Linked DNA regions of Oryctolagus cuniculus. The protein of the gene in region 2 purifies or fractionates together with the protein of the main gene of each other region. This does not show direct contact. Links are inferred from orthologs where the notes say so. Each region holds a gene or a part of one and is shown on either strand. Other genes may lie near its edges.

Region 1 (6,030 bases), on a different chromosome or scaffold from region 2:
AGCCTTGAATTATTAAAAAGGGAAGAAAGGGGCAGACATCTTGTACAGCAGGTCAAGCCACTGCTTGGGATACACACATCTCATGAAGTTCTTGGGATCCAGTCTCAGATACTCTGCTTCAATCCAGTCTCCTTCTATTACCCCTGGGAGACAGCAGAAGATGGCGCAAGTACTTGGGCCCCTGCCATTCATGTGGGAGACCCGGATGGAGTTGTTGGTTCCTGGCTTGGGCCTGGCCCAGCTGTGGCTATTGCGGGCATTTGGGGAGTGAACCTATAGATGGAAGGTCTGTCTCTCACTCTTTCTCAGTCACTCTGCTTTCAGAGTAATTATTTTTGAAAGTAATTTAAGGGTCCAGCGTTGTGGCATGGTGGGGTAAGTCACTGCTTACAATACCAGCGTCCTTTATCACAGTGCCAGTTTGAGTCCTGGCTACTCTGCTTCCAATCCAATACCATGCTAATGCACCTGGGAAGATAGTGGAAGATGACCCAGGTACCTGGCCTTCTGCCAGCTCACAAGGGAGATCTGGAAGAGTTCCAGGTTCCTGGCTTCCTTTGTGGCCATCTGGGAGTGAACCAGTGGATGGAAATCTCTTTCTCTGTTTTTTCCTCTCTGTCACTCTGCTTTTCAAATAATGAAATCTTTCATTTTTTAATTTTTATAGAGAGGGAGGGACATAGAGAGATATTCTCTATCTGCTAGTTCACTTCCCAAATGACCACAATGGTTGAGGCTCAGCCAGGCCAAAACCAGGAACCAGAAGCTTCTTCTGGATCTGTCACGTGGGCGGGGCCAAGGACACGGGCCATCCTACACTGCTCTCCCAGGCCACTAGCAGGGAGCTAGATTGGAACTGGAGCAGCTGGGATTCAAACTGGTGCCTGTACAGGATGCTGGCACTGCAGATGGCATCTTAACCCCCTGCGCCACAGTGCATGCCCTCAAATAATCAAATCCCGTTTTAAAAAAATATTTTATGTATTTATTTATTTTTAAAGACTTATTCATTTGAAAGGTAGAGTTAAAAAGAGGCAGAGGCAGAGAGATAGAGAAGTCTTCCATCCACTGGTTTACTCCCCAAATGGCTGCAATGGTTGGAGCCAGCTTCTTCCGGGTCTCCCATGCAGGTACAGGGGCCCAAGCACTTGGGCCATCCTCCACTGCTTTCCCAGGCCATAGCAGAGAGCTGGATCAGAAGTGGAGCAGCTGGGTCTCGAACCCATGCCCATACGGGATGCTGGCAGTGCAGGCAGTGGCTTTACCCACTATGCCACGGTGCTGACCCTTTATTTATTTATTTGCTAGGCAGAGTTACATAGAGAGAGAGGAAGAGACAGAGAGAATGGTTTTCCATCCACTGGTTTACTCCCTAAATGGCCACCAACAGCCAAAGCTGAGGTGACCCAAAGCCAGAAGCCAGGTGCTTCTTCCAGGTCTCCCACACGGGTTCAGGGGCCCACACACCTGGGCTATCGTATACTGCTTCCCCAGGCAATAGTAGAGAGCTGATTCGGAAAAGGAGCATCTGGACTCAAACTGATGCCCATATGGGATGTCGGTGCCATAGGTAAAGGCTTAGCCTACTATGCCACAGCACCGGCACCAAATAATTAAATCTTAAAAAAAAACTTCTTAAATTTTAAGGGAACCGGCCTGTGCCATGGCTCAATAGGCTAATCCTCCGCCTGCGGCACTGGCACACCGGGTTCTAGTCCTGGTTGGGGCGCCAGATTCTGTCCCGGTTGCCCCTCTTCCAGGCCAGCTCTCTGCTGTGGCCCGGGAGTGGAGTGGAGGATGGCCCAAGTCCTTGGGCCCTGCACTTGCATGGGAGACCAGGAGAAGCACCTGGCTCCTGGCTTTGGATCAGCGCTGTGCGCTGTCTGCAGTGCACCGTCCACAGCGGCCACTGGAGGGTGAACCAATGGCAAAGGAAGACCTTTCTCTCTGTCTCTCTCTCTCACTGTCCACTCTGCCTTTCACCAAAAAAATTTCAAGGGAACCAAACTACAAATTAAATTATTACCCTTTTTGGTCCTGCAACATAATTTTTTTCTGCAGAGCAATGTGATAGTAAAGGTGCACTAAGAGTACACTTGCAGGTACCCACAACTGCTCAATCTTGTGGGGGCTGGGAGATAATGAGTGGAGCTGGGAACTCACTGATGAACAGTGTACACTTACTGGAAACAGTACTGAGCAGATAAACCCAAGACAGGGAGATTCCCTGTGATCCTAGACAGCAGGCCAGTTACGTGTACAACAGAACTTACGGGCACTACATTTTTTAGGATGATAGACATTTTTGTTAGCATGATTGTACTGATGGTTTTACAGATCTATGTATGTCAATACTTACCAAGATACAATTTGTGTCATTTACTGTATGTCAATTATACTTCAATAAAGCTGTTAGGAAATTTACTGAAACAAATGTAAATATCTTGTTCCCATAAGAATCAACAGTTCCCTTAACCACATACACTCATCTTTAGTGAAAGTTTACAGAATAACTAAAAAGGGAAATTCAATCTAACAGACTTCATTTCTCTGAAAGTTGCTCAACAAAATAGAGCACGTTTGACTGACAAGTGGCTCCTCCTTCTGGACATCTTCATTACTACACAAACATGCTGAGGAGCAAAATCTGAAAACAGAGATGCAGAACTTACAATAGGCTTTTTGGTTTGGCTTGAAAGTCAATAAAAACTTGGCCTTTCCAAAGTGTACAGCCCAGTGCATTGTGACTAGGGTGTGCAGTCTTGCAGACATTATCAAAATCAAGTCATAAAACATTTCCATCATCCCTGCGTCCTGTGGCAATCAAGGACCTTCCTCTCTACCACCTGACTTCTGTTAGTCATAGGGAGAGAATCACATAGTGGGTAGCCTTTTGCGTCTGCCTTCTTTCACAATTGGCATTTTTAAGAGGCAAAAGGAGTTTCAAAACCAGTTCTGTAAGCCCACTGTAGGGAACACAACTACACTGAAGACACCACTTACGGAAGTGGGATGGTGATAACCACGTCATTCAGTTCTAAATTATCTTCTTGTAGTTCATATTCTATATTGACATCACAGCCACTTCCACTTTCTGAAGGCCAGCAATTAACTGAGGAGAAAAGCAAAGCCATCATTCCATAATTATTACAAAGAGTATAGAAAAGAAAGCAAATGAAATCTTATCGACAGGCTCACATCTAAAAAATTTTAATGTAAATTATATTTAAAACAAGTTTTAAAATTAAAAATTAGAGACTATGATTAAACACCAAATCCATTTTCAAAATCCTTCAAGGCTTCCATGGCCCACAATCTAAACTTAAAATAGGGTACTGAATTTCATCATTTATTTTCAAAGTCAGAATTACAGAGAGAGGGAGAGATATCTTCCAATCTCTGGTTCACTTCCCTGATGGCTGCAATGGCCAGCACTGAGCCAGGCTGAAGCCAGGAGCTCTCCCACATGGGTGGCAGGGGCCCAAACCCTTAGGTCATATCCCAGGCCATTAGCAGGGAGTTGGGTTGATGGAAGTAGAGCAGCTGGGATATGAACCATACGGGATGCTGGTGACACGGATGGCGGCTTTACCTGCTATGCCACAATGCCTGCCCCTACCTAATGAGATCCCAATTCTTTTGATTTTGATAAAAGATCATTTTGTCAAAAAGAACTTCACTATGGCAATGAAGATAAGAGGGTATAAGCCAGAGCTTTTTTTAGATCTCAATGCAGAGTAGCTTAGTCAAACAGGCCAGAGGCACTTACTTGTCAGTGGAATAAAAGATTCTTCTGTGGTTTGTAGTCTCCACTTTAGCACCCCTACATCACTGTTGACTGGAAATGACTTCTCTGGATTCTTCAAGCCAATCAGAGACTCTGCAGTGAAAAGTTTTTTATCCACATTTGGATGGGTCTGGAATGACAAGGCAAACTGAGGTTCAGACACAGTAGACAGGAAACAAACTCTGGGGACAGCAGTTAAAATGCTGGTTGGGGGGACCAGCGCTGTGGCGCAGCAGGTTAAGGCCCTGGCCTGAAGCACCGGCATCCCATATGGGCACTGGTTGGAGACCTGGCTGCTCCGCTTCCAATCCAGCTCTCTGCTATGGCCTGGGAAAGCAGCAGAGGATGGCCCAGGTTTTTGGACCCCTATACCCTCATGGGAGACCGAGAGGAGGCATCTGGCTCCTGGCTTCGGATCAGCACAGCTCTGGATATTGCGGCCATTTGGGGAGTGGAGTGGACCAGTGGATGGAGGACCTCTCTCTTTCTTCCTCTCTTCTCTCTGTGTAACTCTTTCAAATAAATAAATAAATCTTTAAAAAAAAAAAGAAGAAGAAGAATCAGGCACACTGAAATGGGATACAGACATCCCAAGTGATGGTTTAATTTGCTGCACCACAGCACCTATTCCAACTTTTAATCTTAAATTTATTAATTTATTTGAAAGGCAGGGTGAGAGAGAGAAGGGCTGAGAGAGGAAGAGGGAGAGGGAGAGGACGGGGACAAGGCAGAGAGATCGTCTATCCACTAATTCACTCCCCCAGAGGCTGAGATGGCCAGGGTTGGGCCAGGCTTCATCTGAGTCTCCTAAGTGGGTGGCAGAATGGCACTAGTTACATCACACAAATAATTTTATATTTATTTGGTAAATATAAGGAATGCTAGTTGAGACTGTGCTAGGTCTTTCATTAGCTAAGTCTTAATACTCTCAACCAGAAGACTCCACACACCTGCAGTTGTACCCCTCTCTTATCTTCGTTTTCTACATGAAGACGAATTCGGCCAAATTTGTCATCTGAGATCCTAAGCATGATCATTCCATGCAACTCCATATTCTGTAATCCTCCATCTCGTCCACAGGTTAGTGTGATCTTTTCTTCAATCTTCATATGTACACTATAAAGACAAAGTGATAAATTTGTTCAGAAAGGTAGAAGTCACAACAAACTCCCTTTTTTCAAGGATTAACAGTCAATAGCCATCAAAAAAAATTTTTTATTTTTTTATTTTTTTTATTTTTGACAGGCAGAGTGGACAGTGAGAGAGAGACAGAGAGAGAAAGGTCTTCCTTTTGCCGTTGGTTCACCCTCCAATGGCCGCCGCTGCAGCCGGCGCACCGCGCTGATCCGATGGCAGGAGCCAGGATCCAGGTGCTTTTCCTGGTCTCCCATGGGGTGCAGGGCCCAAGCACCTGGGCCATCCTCCACTGCACTCCCTGGCCATAGCAGAGAGCTGGCCTGGAAGAGGGGCAACCGGGACAGAATCCGGCGCCCCAACCGGGACTAGAACCCGGTGTGCCGGCGCCGCAAGGTGGAGGATTAGCCTATTGAGCCACAGCGCCGGCTCAAAAAATTTTTTTTTTAATTTGGAAGGCAGAGACAGATGGAGAGTGATCTTCCATTTGCTGGTTCATTCACCAAATGCCTGCAATAGCAAGGGCTGGGCCAGGCCAAAGCAAAGAGCTACAACTCCATCCGGGTCTCCAACATGGATGGCAGGGACTCAACCACTTGAGTCGTCATTTACTGCCTCCCAGGGCGTGTAACAGCAGAAAGCTGGATGGAAAGTGGGTTAGCTGGGACTCAAACCAAGCACTGTAACATGAGATGCAGGAATCCCAAATGGCAACCCAACTGCTGCACCACACATGTATCAGAATTTTAAAACATTTTTTTGGTTATGAATTTCAGGGGCATGTGGAGGGGTAAGGTCTCAATATTTATCTTCTTTTTGTTTGACAGGCAGGGAGACAAAGAAAGAGAGACATAAAAAGAGTTCTCATTTGCTGGTTCAGTCTCTAATATTCACATCAGCCAGGGCTGGGCCAGGTAAAATCTGGGAGCAAGGAACTCAATCCAGGCCTTCTATAGGGGTGACAGGGATCCCATCACCTGTTGCCTCCTGAGGTGCCCATCAAAAGGAAGCTAGAGTTCAGAGTTCAGCAAAGACTTGAACTCAGGCACTTGAAATGGGATGTGGGCATTCCTGCTAAAGGTTTAACTGATAGGTGAAACACCTGTCCC
Region 2 (6,779 bases):
TCACTTCCCACGGGGCTGTTCAAAGAACATGCAGCAGGATGACTCACTTCAACAGGGCCCTGCATGGAGTCCAGCTCCAAGAGCACGGGGCCTGGCCTTTGACGCGGATAGTGAGGTTCTAGCAAGACCAGCAATCTGACAGCACGCATTGGACGTGGATGACTTGGGTCTCCACCACCCTCAAACCCAGAGTAGAAACCTGGTCAAGTGCTTCCTATAGCAGGAAGATGGGACAATTAACATATTCATAACACAAACTACTCTCTACTGTTCATGAAAGAACAAAATATGACAACAGCAAGTTAAGCAACAGAAAAACTGGGATTTGGTCTTCAGATCATAACTTTTTCCTCACTGTGATTCTGATAGTTGTTTTAGAATCACAGTGTCATGGCAATCTATTTTGGAACACATTTACAAAGCACAAGATAAACTTGAATACTTCATTTTCAATGCTTATTCTTCAAATAGTTCATTGCTTTTTTTTTTTTTTATCGAATTCCTGATACCTGCCAACCATTCCAGACATTTTCTTTTCTTTTTTTTTTTTTTTTTTTTTTTTTTTTAAAGATATACTTATTTACCTGAAAGGCAGAGAGAGATGGATCTTCCTTCCACTGGTTCACTCCCCCAAATGCCTGCAACAGCCAGGGCTAGACCAGGACAAAGCCAGGAGCCAGGAACTCCATCCTGGTCTCCCACATGGGTGGCTGGGACTCCCAGTACTTTAGCCATCACCTGCTGCCTTCTTAGGCACAGTAACAGGGAGCTGGATTGGAAGTAGAGCAGCTTGGAACCAGCACTCAAATGTGGGATGCTGGAATTGCAAGCCGCAGCATAACATGCTGTGCCACAATGCCGGCCCCTAGTTTACTATTTCTAAGAAGCCCATTTTGGGGGCCGGCACTGTGGCGCAGGTTAATCCTCTGCCTGTGGCGCTGGCATTCCATAGTGTGCCGGTTCTAGTCCCAGCTGCTCCTCTTTCCCATCCAGCTCCCTGCTATGACCAAGGAAAGCAGTGGAGGATGGCCCAAGTCCATTGGCCCCTGGACCCCCGTGGGAGACCTGGAAGAAGCTCCTGGCTTCAGATTGGTGTAGCTCCGACGATTTATGGCCATTTGAGGGGTGAACCAGTGGAGAGAGGACCTTTCTGTCTCTTACTGTCTGTAACTCTACCTCTCAAATAATTAAATAAAATCTTTAAAAAAAGGGCTGCTTAAAAAAAAAGCCCATTTTGGTCCCAGAAAGATGTCAGAGTGCAGCTGATGACTAGACTTCATGGAATATAAGACTTCTTTCTCCTTGGAAAATAGTATAGTAGGGTAGTTAAAGAGTCTTGGCTTAGAACTTGGGATGCCAGGGTTCAAATCCTGATTTTACTCCAGAATAACCTTGGAACAATTACTGAACTTCTTTAAGTCTGGGTTTCAGAATTTGCAAAATGGTGCTCAGGTTCTCATGGTGGGTTGGTTGAAGTACATATCTAAAATGTTTGGTATACAGAATTTTCTTAAAACTTACTGTTTGTTAATTATCTTGCCTGGTTTGACGGATATTTCTTTATTATTATCTTCTACTCACATCTAATTTGAGTGCTTAGACTCCTAAGCAGGGCACAGACTGAAACACCAATGGCCACAAACACAAACCCCAACTCAACTCACACTGGCAGCCAATCTGATGAGTGGCATTGAGCAGACGGACACAGGGAGCTGTTTTATTTAAGGGGATGTAGATCTTCCTCTCCACTGAGTTTCCCCCACACAAACCTGATGAGAAGACAAAGTGTTAAAAGAAATTGAGAGACACTGGTACTAGCTTCTACCATGTCATATTCTTGATGTATGTATGAAATGGGTAAATCATTCAATGTCGTACTTTGAAACACAAAACTAGCATCCACTCTCACTTCTTGGGCACCCTGTTGGAGCACATAAATGCTCTACCAAGCATCCGGCTAACTGCTTCAGAAGATTACAACATATTCCGTGTAGAGGAAGTACTGGTGAAGCTAAAAGAGAGAAAACTTGATTTGTCAAAGGACGGGTATTTACCCTGTGATGTGCCAGCTTCTGGTTGTATGTGTGGGCACCCTTCCACTTTTCTATCCTGTATGCATATTACATGGGTGCTGGTCTAAGAGTACAGATTACAATAATGAAAAAAAATGAGATTTTTTTTTTCCCAGGAGTCAGAACAGAATTAGGAGACATCTATGTCACACACCTGTCAGTTAATCTAACATCAGTAGGTCATTTGCATGTGCCCACAGTGTAGGCTGCTGTAGCTTCTCCTTTAGGGATCTTAAAACACATGTGAATGCTGGGGAAGGCACAGTCCTGATTATATACAGCCATGTTTTCATTTTAGGGCTCAACCAACAAATAAGCCATATATCGGAAAGTAAGCACATTTACCCACACTATAAAGGCTTAAAGTTCCTCGAGTCAATACTTCGGACTCTCAACAGTTAAGAGTTCCCACACCCTACCCTAGCCTCCCTTCACTAATGAAAGAAACTGAGACAGGGGTTTATGGCGTAATCAACAGAGAAGAAATGATCTACCTTTTAAGCGTGCACAGCACCCACAGAACGAGGCTGTTTTCATCTTTAGAATAAAGTCTAAACGCAGGGAAGGAAGCTAAACTTTCACACCTGCACATTTTGGTTATGAGTGGGGTGGCTGGGCTGTAGGGAATTGAGGCACCGGACAAAGCGGGCTGGAAGTCCAGGAAGAGCCTGGAGCAGGTAATGAAGCGACACGACGTGCCGCAGTGGAGAAGGGACCTACAGGTTCAGGCAAAGGGGGAACTTCTGTCGTGGGAACGAAAGAGAAAGAGGATTTACAGGGTGGGGGGACAGAGGGGCAGAAGGGACCAAAAGGGAGACGCCGGCGCTCGCGTTTGGACAGGTCCGAAGGGTTCCCCTCACACGGCGGAGCTCAAGGGCGAGGGGGCCTCACCTGCCAGTAGGACGCAGAAAGACAACAGGAAAAGAAGACCCGTACTGCCCGGGCCAGGTCCAGAGCCGCCCCTATCCGTGGCCATCTTGCTTCTCCGCTGAGCGGAAGCCTCGGTTCCCCTCCTCTCGGGTAGTGGCCTCTCTAGGCTACCGGTGGCGCCGTCTCGGTGCCCCGGAGCTCCAGAAACCGGAAGTTCGTGTCTTGAGGAGCTTCCGGGAGCTGCTGCCTAGGGTCGCTGACGTGGAGGCGTCCTAAGGGCAGCGGGGAGTGGCAGGGCTCAGGGATCGGGCGCTGGAGCTGGAGGCCTGAAGGATGCTAACCAAATTCGAGACCAAGAGCGCGCGGGTCAAAGGTAGGGAAGAAGAAAAGGGGAGACGTGGAGGCTGGGTGTCAGAGGCGGCGCTGTTATAGGGGAAGAGAGAATGGGTGGACATGCCGGCTGCGTGGGGCCCACTGGACGAACCAGGGAAGACGGAGGGAGGGAGATTCGGCCTAGCGGGCAGTTCTCCAGACCTGCCTTCCTTGTGTCTCATCGGGCATTGATTTACCTGTAAAGCGTTTCCTGCACCGCGGAGGATCCATTTGTCCAGCTCCCTGGTCTTTCCCTTACCCTTTCCGCTTCCCGGTGGCTCCGCGCCCTATTAGTTTTCTTCTGCTCCAAGGCCCTGTGACCTGTTATTCGGAATGGCTCTGGGGATGCAGGCTGTCACTGGCTCCAAGTCAGTAACTTTTTCGGAGGGGAGTACTGGCCCCCTGACTTATGGAGGCTTTGCTTGCACCATCTTAACATCCAATGCCTGTATTGGGCTTTATTTCCTACCTGGAAATAGGGATTTGAGGTCTGTAGCCCCGGGAAAACCTGAGCTTGGTAAGGTTGCCAGATGAAATACAGGATGCCCAGTTACATTTGAATGTCACAGAGCAAATAATTTTTTAGTATTGTGGTTTATCTGAAATTCAAATGTAACTGAGCTTCTTGCATTTTTGTTAATTTGGCAACTCTAGAGCTTGAGTTGTGCTCACGGTGGTGGAAGACACCCCCATGATGATGTTGCACTAGCAGTCTCTCAGAGTGTTAAACTGGGAAAGGCAGGGACGGGAGGTCTACCGAGACCTGGAGAAAATGTGTCTGGAATAGATAGATGCAGCATAGCAAAGTAGTTAGGAACTTGGTGTTTGAAGTCAATTGGGCTTGCTTTGGAATCCTGAGACACTCAGCAAAAAGCTGTATGACCGTGGGTGACTTACTTAATGTCTTCAAATTTATTTCCTCATTTGTGAAATGTGAGTAATTAATGCTCGTTGTCAGTGTGAGACTGTATTCTGAGCAGGTTCTAAGTTTTATGGGAATGGTGAATTTCTGGGACGTGGGTGATTGGAATGGATTGTCACAATCCTTAAGTTTTCTCCTCTCCTAATTTCTTTTTGGGCAGTAGATGAGGGGGAAAAGGTGCCAGAATATTTGAAGGTTACTGTCCACTGAGTGTCACTACAATTGTTAAGGGGAGGAAACAAGCAACTTAAGGGGAAAATAGACAATTTAGAAGAATAAGTGTTCCACAAATAATGAAAATTGTTCTACCTCCACATAATGAAAGAAATGCAAAAAAAAGTATCTTTTTTGGTTTTGCATTAGTAAAACAAAAAACCAGCATAACATCTTGTGTTAACCAATGTGTACAAAATATGGATACCTTCCTAAACTTGATGAGACTGTATATTGGTAGTTTTTTCCAGTTAAACGATATCTACCAGAATGTTAGATGCATGTACTCTACTCCTGAGCCATCCCACTTTAATGTCTTCAGCCTAACTCAATAATACAGTAAATAGACAAGATTATGTGTAGAAGTATCTTCAATAAGTGCTTCTAATAGCCAGGAATTGGGGGAAAGAATTTAAAAGCCTATTACTAGGCTTACTTAAAACTGTGAGGCCCTTATTCCTTGCAGCTATAAAAAGAATGAGGTTATGTTTATATGTAGCTAAATGTGGTGATATCCATACCATAAGTAAGAAAAGAAGTTTGCAGAACATTATAATGTGACACTCATTCTCATAATATAATAAGGCTTGTGCTTATACAGAACTTTATTAAAGTGCAGAACAATATCCTCCAACCCATTAACAGTTGTTACCTCTGGGGACTTCTATTTCTAGTCATGATAAGAACCATGTTTTACCTTAAGTAACGACAAAACTGAACAAAATGTAGAAAGTGAAAAATTTCAGATGTTGGACATTAAGCAGTGCAGGAAAATGATTCTTGAGAGAAGGGAAGTAAACAAGGTGAGTCCTATAACTGTTTTAGTTTAGTGCTTAGACAGAGTTCCCAGGCTGCAGTGAAGGTAGGAGGAAGACTTCTGTGAGAAGTCTTCTTCCTGAGAAGACAGAGTGTAGAGTTCCTGGAAACAAGCATGGTTGGACTTTGCTGGGCAGAATACCAGAGAAGAGGAGGCGGCCCTGGAGCTCTGCAGGAGCTCCCCTCTGGCCTCTGAGTGCTGACCTGTACATGTATGTTAGAAAATTATCCAAAACTTAAGAAAAAAAAAAAAAACAATTGGTAGGGAGTAAGGCAGAATAATCCATGGCGCTCATGCAGGACTGGAAATAGTTTGTGTTCCTACTAACTGGGATAGAAAGATTAGCTGATGTTTCAGTGTAACATACAGAGCCCAAAGGATTAGTATTATCTTTGGAATGATTTCAAATTAGTCCCAGTCTAAAGGCTGTTGTGGACCCCTGTAACAAAACTTAAAAAAATGAGCCTCAAAAAGATCATCTGATTCCAGGTAACTTAACTGCATCGTAGAATAAAACTCAACAGTATTTGAAGGAATATTAACAAAAACCCAACATCTAACATTATAATTTTCACAGTGTTTAACATCTAATAAAAAGCACTGGCATATTAAATGAATGTATGGACCTGTGATTAGCTTAGCATTTCCTTTTTCTTATCAGAATTGACAGAAGGTGACATCATAGGGGTTATTAGCTTATTTTATTGTTTTCTGTTTTATTCCAGGGCTCAGTTTTCACCCCAAAAGACCCTGGATCCTGACAAGTTTACACAATGGGGTCATCCAATTATGGGACTACCGAATGTGCACCCTCATTGACAAGTTTGATGAACATGATGGTAAGATAATTTCTTTCTTTCTCTCTCCCTTCCTTCCTTCCTTCCTTCTTCCCTCCCTCCCTCCCTCTCTCTCTTCCTTCCTTCCTTCCTTTTTTTGGATTTATAGATTTATTTGAAAGGTGGAGTTACAGAGAGGGAGGGAGAGACAGAGAGAGAAAGAAATTTTCTATCCATTGGCTAACTCCCCAAATGGCCACAACAGCACATTAGCAGGGAACTAAATTGGAAGTGGAGCAGCAGGGACATGAATCATCACCCATATAGGATGCCGGCATCATAGGCAGCAGCTTAGCCCACTGTGCCACAACACCAGCCCTGATAATAAGATAGGAGAGAGTTAAGAGATACAAGAGAGTGGGCATTTGGTGCAGGGGCTGGTGCCGCAGCTCAATAGGCTAATCCTCCGCCTACGGCGCTGGCACCCCGGGTTCTAGTCCTGGTCAGGGCACCAGATTCTGTCCCGGTTGCTCCTCTTCCAGTCCAGCTCTCTGCTGTGGCCCAGGAGTACAGTGGAGGATGGCCCAAGTCCTTGGGCCCTGCACCCACATGGGAAACCAGGAGAAGCACCTGGCTCCTGGCTTCGGATCAGCGCGGTGCGCCGGCCGCAGCGACCATAGAGGGGTGAACCAATGGAAAAGGAAGACCTTTCTCTCTGTCTCTCTCTCTCTCTCACT
Region 3 (6,030 bases), on a different chromosome or scaffold from region 2:
TGAGGGGATCTGCTTGTCTGATGCGTCCCGCTTTTCTGAGGCGCGGGATGTCATCCTGCTTTGGCCATTGTCGCGGAAGTGTTGTATTTTCAACGTGCTGTTGGTTCTTTGCAGTGCGGTGTGTCTGCAAGGGCGTTTCTACTGGGGCTTCCCACTGGCTCCCCCCCACCCCCCAGCCTTCCGTTCACCTACCTGCTGTTCTCTTCCACTAGGAAAACGCTGCCGAGGTCCACAGTGTCGATTCTGGATGACCACATTAGCCACTACCCACAGCTAGAGGACCCCATGGGCTTCTTGAATGCATACATGGGCTTCATCAACTCCTTCTGAGCTGGAAAGCGTAGCCTCCCTGTCTGACCTCCCCCGAGTCCTATCTGTGTGTGTTCCACTTAGGAGGAGATGCCCAAAAGAGGTCCTGGCCACCCACTGTCCCCTCACAGAAGTCACTCCCCTCACACTGGTGGGCAGTGTACGGGAAGAGGCCAGCAGAGGCGCTGAGTTGACGTAGCACTGTCCTCCTCCCATCCCTCTGATGGCATCTGACCATGTCTGACTGCCGCTGTCTGTGCGTTCTTAGGAAATTCTGACGGGCACTACCAGTGGTGCACAGGGCACACAACCTTCTGCACAGGAGACACTTGTGGGAATTTGCTGAAATACCCAGAAGTGCCCTCCTCTCGCCCAGTCTCTTTGAATCCTCTAGCAAAGGATGGGGAGGGGCCTGCGTACGTCTTCTGGGATGCCTTTAAGGACACGTGCTTTTTCATAGTTTTCTGTCCCCCTTGTTGTAACGTTAGACTTAGTTTCATCAGCTACTTCTACTTATAGACACTTAGTTGACGTAGGTATTGGTTTACATAACACAGGATTCGCAGTGTGCTTCAGGACTGACTGACCTGTCCCTGATCCAGCTAACCAGCAGACCCTCACTCTGCCAGAGTAACGAGCCTTCTGAAACATGCTCAGTTTTTGAATACCCAAACGATTTACAGAATTTCTGAAAATCGTAGGACATTAAGGACCAAGTCCATCTGTGGCAGAGATGTGCTGTTATTAGCTGGGAAGACCACTCTAACAGCACACAACAGTCTGCCTCCTCAGAGCTCAGTGCTTGGAAGCATGGCCCTCCTGAGCCAAAGCGGAGGGGAGGGGCTGGTGTACAGTCCAAGTGACCCTGTGGAGCGTGCACTGAGTCTCGTGATGACTGCTTAACGTCCCGGTGGCTTTCTCACAGCTCAGCAACGCTGGGCGCTCTCAGCAATGCACGAGAGTTCCAGGAACTTTAGAACAAATTCTGACAGACCTATGAGCAAATGGTGCTGAATACTATTTTTTTTTTTAAAGCCACACTTTCATTGTCTAAGTCAAAGCAGGATTATTAAGTGATTATTTTAAATTCATTTTTTATTAGCAACTTCAAGTATAACAACTTTGAAACTGGAATAAGTGTTTATTTTCTATTAATAAAAATGAATTGTGACAAAAGTGGACTCTGGCTTCCCCTCCCCCCCTCTCGCCACCCCTCGGGGATAAAATTTTCCAACATTGCCAGGAGCTTTCAGACACACGTTAAAAGAAAATAATATAATGAAGTTAAGCAGCCAAAGGACAGAATAGTATTTGATTTTCAAGCTCACCCAATGCTGCACTGTCATACCAAAGCTGTCATATCAAGTGAAGAAAAAGAAAAAGGAAATAAACAGAATCCATGCATAAGGACAGATTTTGCTTGATCTGCTGGCTCGGGGCTGAATGTTTAATTTGCTTCTCCAAAGTCATTACCCTTTGAAGGGGTGATTCTGGGAACTTCATGCCAGTAGCCTAAAACCCACCTACAGCGAAGTGTCCATTAACTTCTTGCCCAGGAAGATCTCATCCAACAGAAGCCAAGATAACATCTACAGGTGTTCTTTCTTGGCTTCTGACAGTCACCTGCATGGTTACTCCATCTGCTAAGGCGAGCCTGGACCTCACCAATAAATCATAGCCACCTCTGTATATACCTGAAAGAAAAAAATTGAAAACCATATTATTGCAAAACAAGCTCTGAATGACGCGACTGATTATGCCCTGCTTGGATCTCCTTTCTATTATTTTAGTTGAGCTTTTCTAGTGATTTGTGGGAACTGAATCCTACATATAAATTTAAAATTTATTTTTTATATTCCCATGAGACCAGATTCATAGAAGGTACTCAACAACAGTGGGGTGGGGTGAGATTAGTATCTGTAGGACAGGCCAAATGTACAACCTAAAAAAATAAGAATAGCATGCAAGCCAAGTGTTCATTTTGACTGAGCTTCAAATTGCTACTCGTTAATGGGATGAAAGGATGACGGCAGGACGTGGGAGCCCTACCTACAACCTGTTCTGCTGAATTTTCCAACAAAAACAGATGGGAAGTCCAGTGGAACTCTTACCTGCCAGATAGAGCGAGTGGGAATTCTTGTTCTCTGGGACTTTATCTGACCTCTCACACGGCTGCATGCCCAGAAAGGTGATGATGTTGTTGACGGCTTCTGTGTGGAGAAGATTCATGCAGCAGCATTAGACAAGGTGGGGGCCCACCTCTGCACCAGTGTATGCTGGGAGCTCAGGGGGCGGGGTTGTGATTTGTGGAGAGAGGCTACAGGACGGTAAGATGGCTGGACTCGGACGATGAGGACCTTCTAAGTAAATGATTTATCAAGCCCTTAGAGACATGAGAGTTCTTGTTTTCTTTAACAGATAGCCTTGTAGGTTTTAACACTGCTATTATGTAACCCCTCGTTAGCAAAACCCTTCTCACCTTCAAGGGTTTTGGTAGAACTGAGGGCAAAGGTCTCCTCTTTCTCAAAGGTATCTCCCACTTCTTCCCAGGCAGCAGCGAAGTTAGGCTTCAGTACCTTCTGAATGTGGTCAGACACAGTCACTTCCAGATCTTCCAGCTGGCGGGCAAGCAGCAGGGGTCAAACAAAAGTGCTTTCCGCACAAACAGAAGTGGAAGGGACTAATCCCTCATCGTTCTGTGCTAACATCCCTGCAGAAACCTATGAAAAATTCCATGCCCACAATACTTTGCGTAGTCTGGATAAATGCACTGCCACAGGCCTTAGCAAAGGAAAGCAAGAAAACAGGACATCTGACACGAGCCAAATTCAGATCAACATCTGCAGGCCTGAGGTACGAGGCAGTGAGGCTGCCCCACGTGACCGCCCTGCACCTCTTGAACTCTGCACCCAGCACAGGGTGGCACTTCTCGGGCAGCTGCTGCCTCCATTCTGTGGAGGGTTCTCAGGTCACGATCTGGCTACTTAGCTTGTTTGCTGGAATAGCAACAAAATCAAAAACCATTCTGAATAAAGCCTGTTTCGTATATTATAATTGCATGAACATCATGTAATTATTTTCATCTCTTAATTATCCCATCATAAAGGAAAAGGAGCGTTTTAGTTATCCAGTGGTCAATCTCCATTCTCCTTGGCATCCGTCACGGGATTCAGTGAGGTCCTCCTTAACTGTAATCTGTGCGGGACCAGAAACCTCACGTCAGACGTCCCTAGTCAAATGCTGTCGGAGCAGCAGTGCCTGATGCTGCAAAGGTCAGACCGTGTCTGCAGGGGAGACTCACCACATACTCATCGTCATACCCATCCTCATCTGGAACCCCAGTGTTAGGGTCACAGTCCCGGACGGTGAACCTCATGGTACAGCTAAAGGTGCCTGCAACTGAGAGAGAGCGTAGGCAAGCCTATGTCAGTTCTGCGGAAGCAGATCTGCACCCCGCGCCGTGTTCCACGTTTTCAAGTTAAACATGTGCGTGACCTGTTTTCTAGGGCAAGATCGCTCAAAGACAGTCTGCTAATGGGGCAGAAAAGTGGTCCCAACAGGTATGATTTTAAAGTCTGTTCTGCATTGTGGGTTAGAATAGTACAGAAAAGCTGTCATGGCCAAACTCGATTTTGTATTTGTATGAAGAAAGCAGGGTTAAACATCCAGGGGCTTTTTGCCTGCCTGTCAAAGGGTCTATATGTTGAAAAATAAGTACAGTAAAAAACCACCAGGTAGAGAGCCTACAGATTGTCAAATTACCACTGGCCAAGTACATCAATGTCAACAGTAATGCTATCTTTGGACTGTGGACTGACAGTGGGGCCACAGATCGCCAGAATGGACTTGGCTTTAAGTCAACTTTTAATGTACAATGAATAAGTTAATAATGAAGTCCGAGTGTTGGTAAAGCCAGTGTCTGAAGGCAGAAAAGCCAGTAGGTACCCGTATGTTCTGAGATGACTGGCAGAGGTGACAGGAAACAGTGGGGGTTACATTTTTGGAAAGCGAAGTCTTGAAAATAGGATTTTCTGAGCTGCTTGAAGGAGTGCATTTTGCAAGCATGGATGAAGAAAAGGCATTTAGGATCTAATCCCTCCATCCATGGTCTAAAGAACTTACACAAAAATGCGAACTTGGGAAGCTGGAAAGTTATCTGGGGACAGGCAAGGAGAGGAGACTAGAACCATGGAGACAGCGTATGATAACAAGGGGTCTCCAAGAAGCACGTGGGAAATGTATGTTATGAACAATCTGGATTTCAGACTGTCTTCACAAAACTAAATGTATCTTAATTTCACTTTTCCTTGGACTTTCTGAAGACCCTTTTGTATATGTCAGGTTGGACAGTCGGACTTTAAACCGTGGAATTTTAACTTTAAACTCCACCCACCCACCCATCCAACTGCAGTGTCAGCACACGCTGACACTATGTAAAGGTGGAAAGTAATGTGTCAGACACTTCAGTCATCTTTCTATCTACCTCAGACCCGACTGTCAAGGAGTTGAAGAGTAGGGTTTGTGTGTATGGGGGTGGGGGGGGGGGAGTGTGCACTCACACAGGCTGCCCATATATCTATTTGACATTACAATTTAATGCCACAGATTCTAGGATGTAAGTTTTAGTATAGTGCTGTGTACAGCTGCAGGATGAAGAGCCTGGGAAAACTATTAAAAAGTTGTGAAAGGATACAACAGTTTAATTGGATCTTAAAAAATGCAGCAGATCTTTGGCAAGCAGAGGAAGGTACAGGAGTAGAAAAGAGAAGTGGCTAGGAAGTGCACGAGTGGTTGGAAATACCACGAGGATGTTAAGGCAAAAGTGCTGCTGAGAACAAACTGCAAAGTACTCTGATTCCAATGATTTTCCAAGGGGGTCTGGTGAGCTGAAGCAGTGAAGAGACAGAGGTGAGCTAAGGAAGATACTGCCCAATTCACACTCTGGTGGGAAGACTGCAGAACGGGTGAGAATTCAGAAGACCATGTTGAAAACAGATGAGAGTAGTAGGTTAACCCAAAGAGGAAGAGTGTATCAAGACTGTAGAATTATTTCTGTGTGGTAAGGGGGCAGAAGAAACAATGTTTAAATTAAGGTAGGATTTTCTTTAGCGGAAAAGGGAAAAAGATAAGTGGAATTTAATACAAAATTAGACCAGGTCACTGAAGTGTTAAAAAGGTGAAAGAGACATGGCAGGGAGGAAGGTCATGGTCACGTAAGGGTGACGAATCGGGACAGACACTGAGAAATAAGCTCTGTGACCAGCATGGTTCAGGTTAAGGAGTGGCAAGAGAAATGGGAGAAAATCAGGATGAATGGTAGATCAAAGACTAAGTAAGACCGAAGACACCAACATTATGTACATGATACAGAGAAATGGATGAGGATTAGGTAGAATGGTGTTAGTGGGGATACTGTTTCTGACAGCTTTGTGGCTGGTTTTTAGTTAACTGGTTTGGCTGGTACAATGAGAGGTTGTATGGAATCTAAAGTGAACTCGGGTAGAAGCACTGGTGGCGGGGACAACCCTGCCAGCTGCTGAGGAGAGAAGGTCAGAGGGGCCTTCCCAGGGCAAGAGGACACCCCTGCATCCAGTGTCACGATCTAACGATGTCAGCTTCATGATCAAGGCCAGGTCACAGATCATCACAGGGGATAAGGAAAGAATGAATGTCTTGAGTTCTGACGTGAGAATTGTTTTCAGAAATGGGGCTTGTCTTGTG

Evidence for each region. The genes of interacting proteins can lie anywhere in the genome.
Region 1: the proteins of COPA (region 2) and ARCN1 fractionate together in Homo sapiens (co-fractionation; 4 studies listed by BioGRID and IntAct, with this or other methods). This does not show direct contact. The link is inferred for Oryctolagus cuniculus from reciprocal best matches to the Homo sapiens genes COPA and ARCN1.
Region 3: the proteins of COPA (region 2) and COPG2 fractionate together in Homo sapiens (co-fractionation; 4 studies listed by BioGRID and IntAct, with this or other methods). This does not show direct contact. The link is inferred for Oryctolagus cuniculus from reciprocal best matches to the Homo sapiens genes COPA and COPG2.

What each region holds. Positions count from the first base shown.
Region 1 is NC_091432.1:111,632,401-111,638,430, forward strand, and holds part of ARCN1 (coatomer subunit delta), read right to left. Parts: intron 4,904-6,030; coding exon 4,738-4,903; intron 3,918-4,737; coding exon 3,770-3,917; intron 3,113-3,769; coding exon 3,004-3,112; intron 1-3,003. UniProt on the Homo sapiens protein: Component of the coatomer, a cytosolic protein complex that binds to dilysine motifs and reversibly associates with Golgi non-clathrin-coated vesicles, which further mediate biosynthetic protein transport from the ER, via the Golgi up to the trans Golgi network.
Region 2 is NC_091438.1:38,573,592-38,580,370, forward strand, and holds the start of COPA (coatomer subunit alpha), read left to right. Parts: upstream 1-3,171; 5' UTR 3,172-3,275; coding exon 3,276-3,315; intron 3,316-5,991; coding exon 5,992-6,105; intron 6,106-6,779. Other genes in the region: NCSTN (nicastrin), read right to left, coding at 1,665-1,769, 2,964-3,048. UniProt on the Homo sapiens protein: The coatomer is a cytosolic protein complex that binds to dilysine motifs and reversibly associates with Golgi non-clathrin-coated vesicles, which further mediate biosynthetic protein transport from the ER, via the Golgi up to the trans Golgi network.
Region 3 is NC_091434.1:166,631,516-166,637,545, forward strand, and holds the end of COPG2 (coatomer subunit gamma-2), read right to left. Parts: intron 3,709-6,030; coding exon 3,611-3,708; intron 2,928-3,610; coding exon 2,789-2,927; intron 2,520-2,788; coding exon 2,421-2,519; intron 2,004-2,420; coding exon 1,873-2,003; 3' UTR 1,387-1,872; downstream 1-1,386. Other genes in the region: MEST (mesoderm-specific transcript homolog protein), read left to right, coding at 213-330. UniProt on the Homo sapiens protein: The coatomer is a cytosolic protein complex that binds to dilysine motifs and reversibly associates with Golgi non-clathrin-coated vesicles, which further mediate biosynthetic protein transport from the ER, via the Golgi up to the trans Golgi network.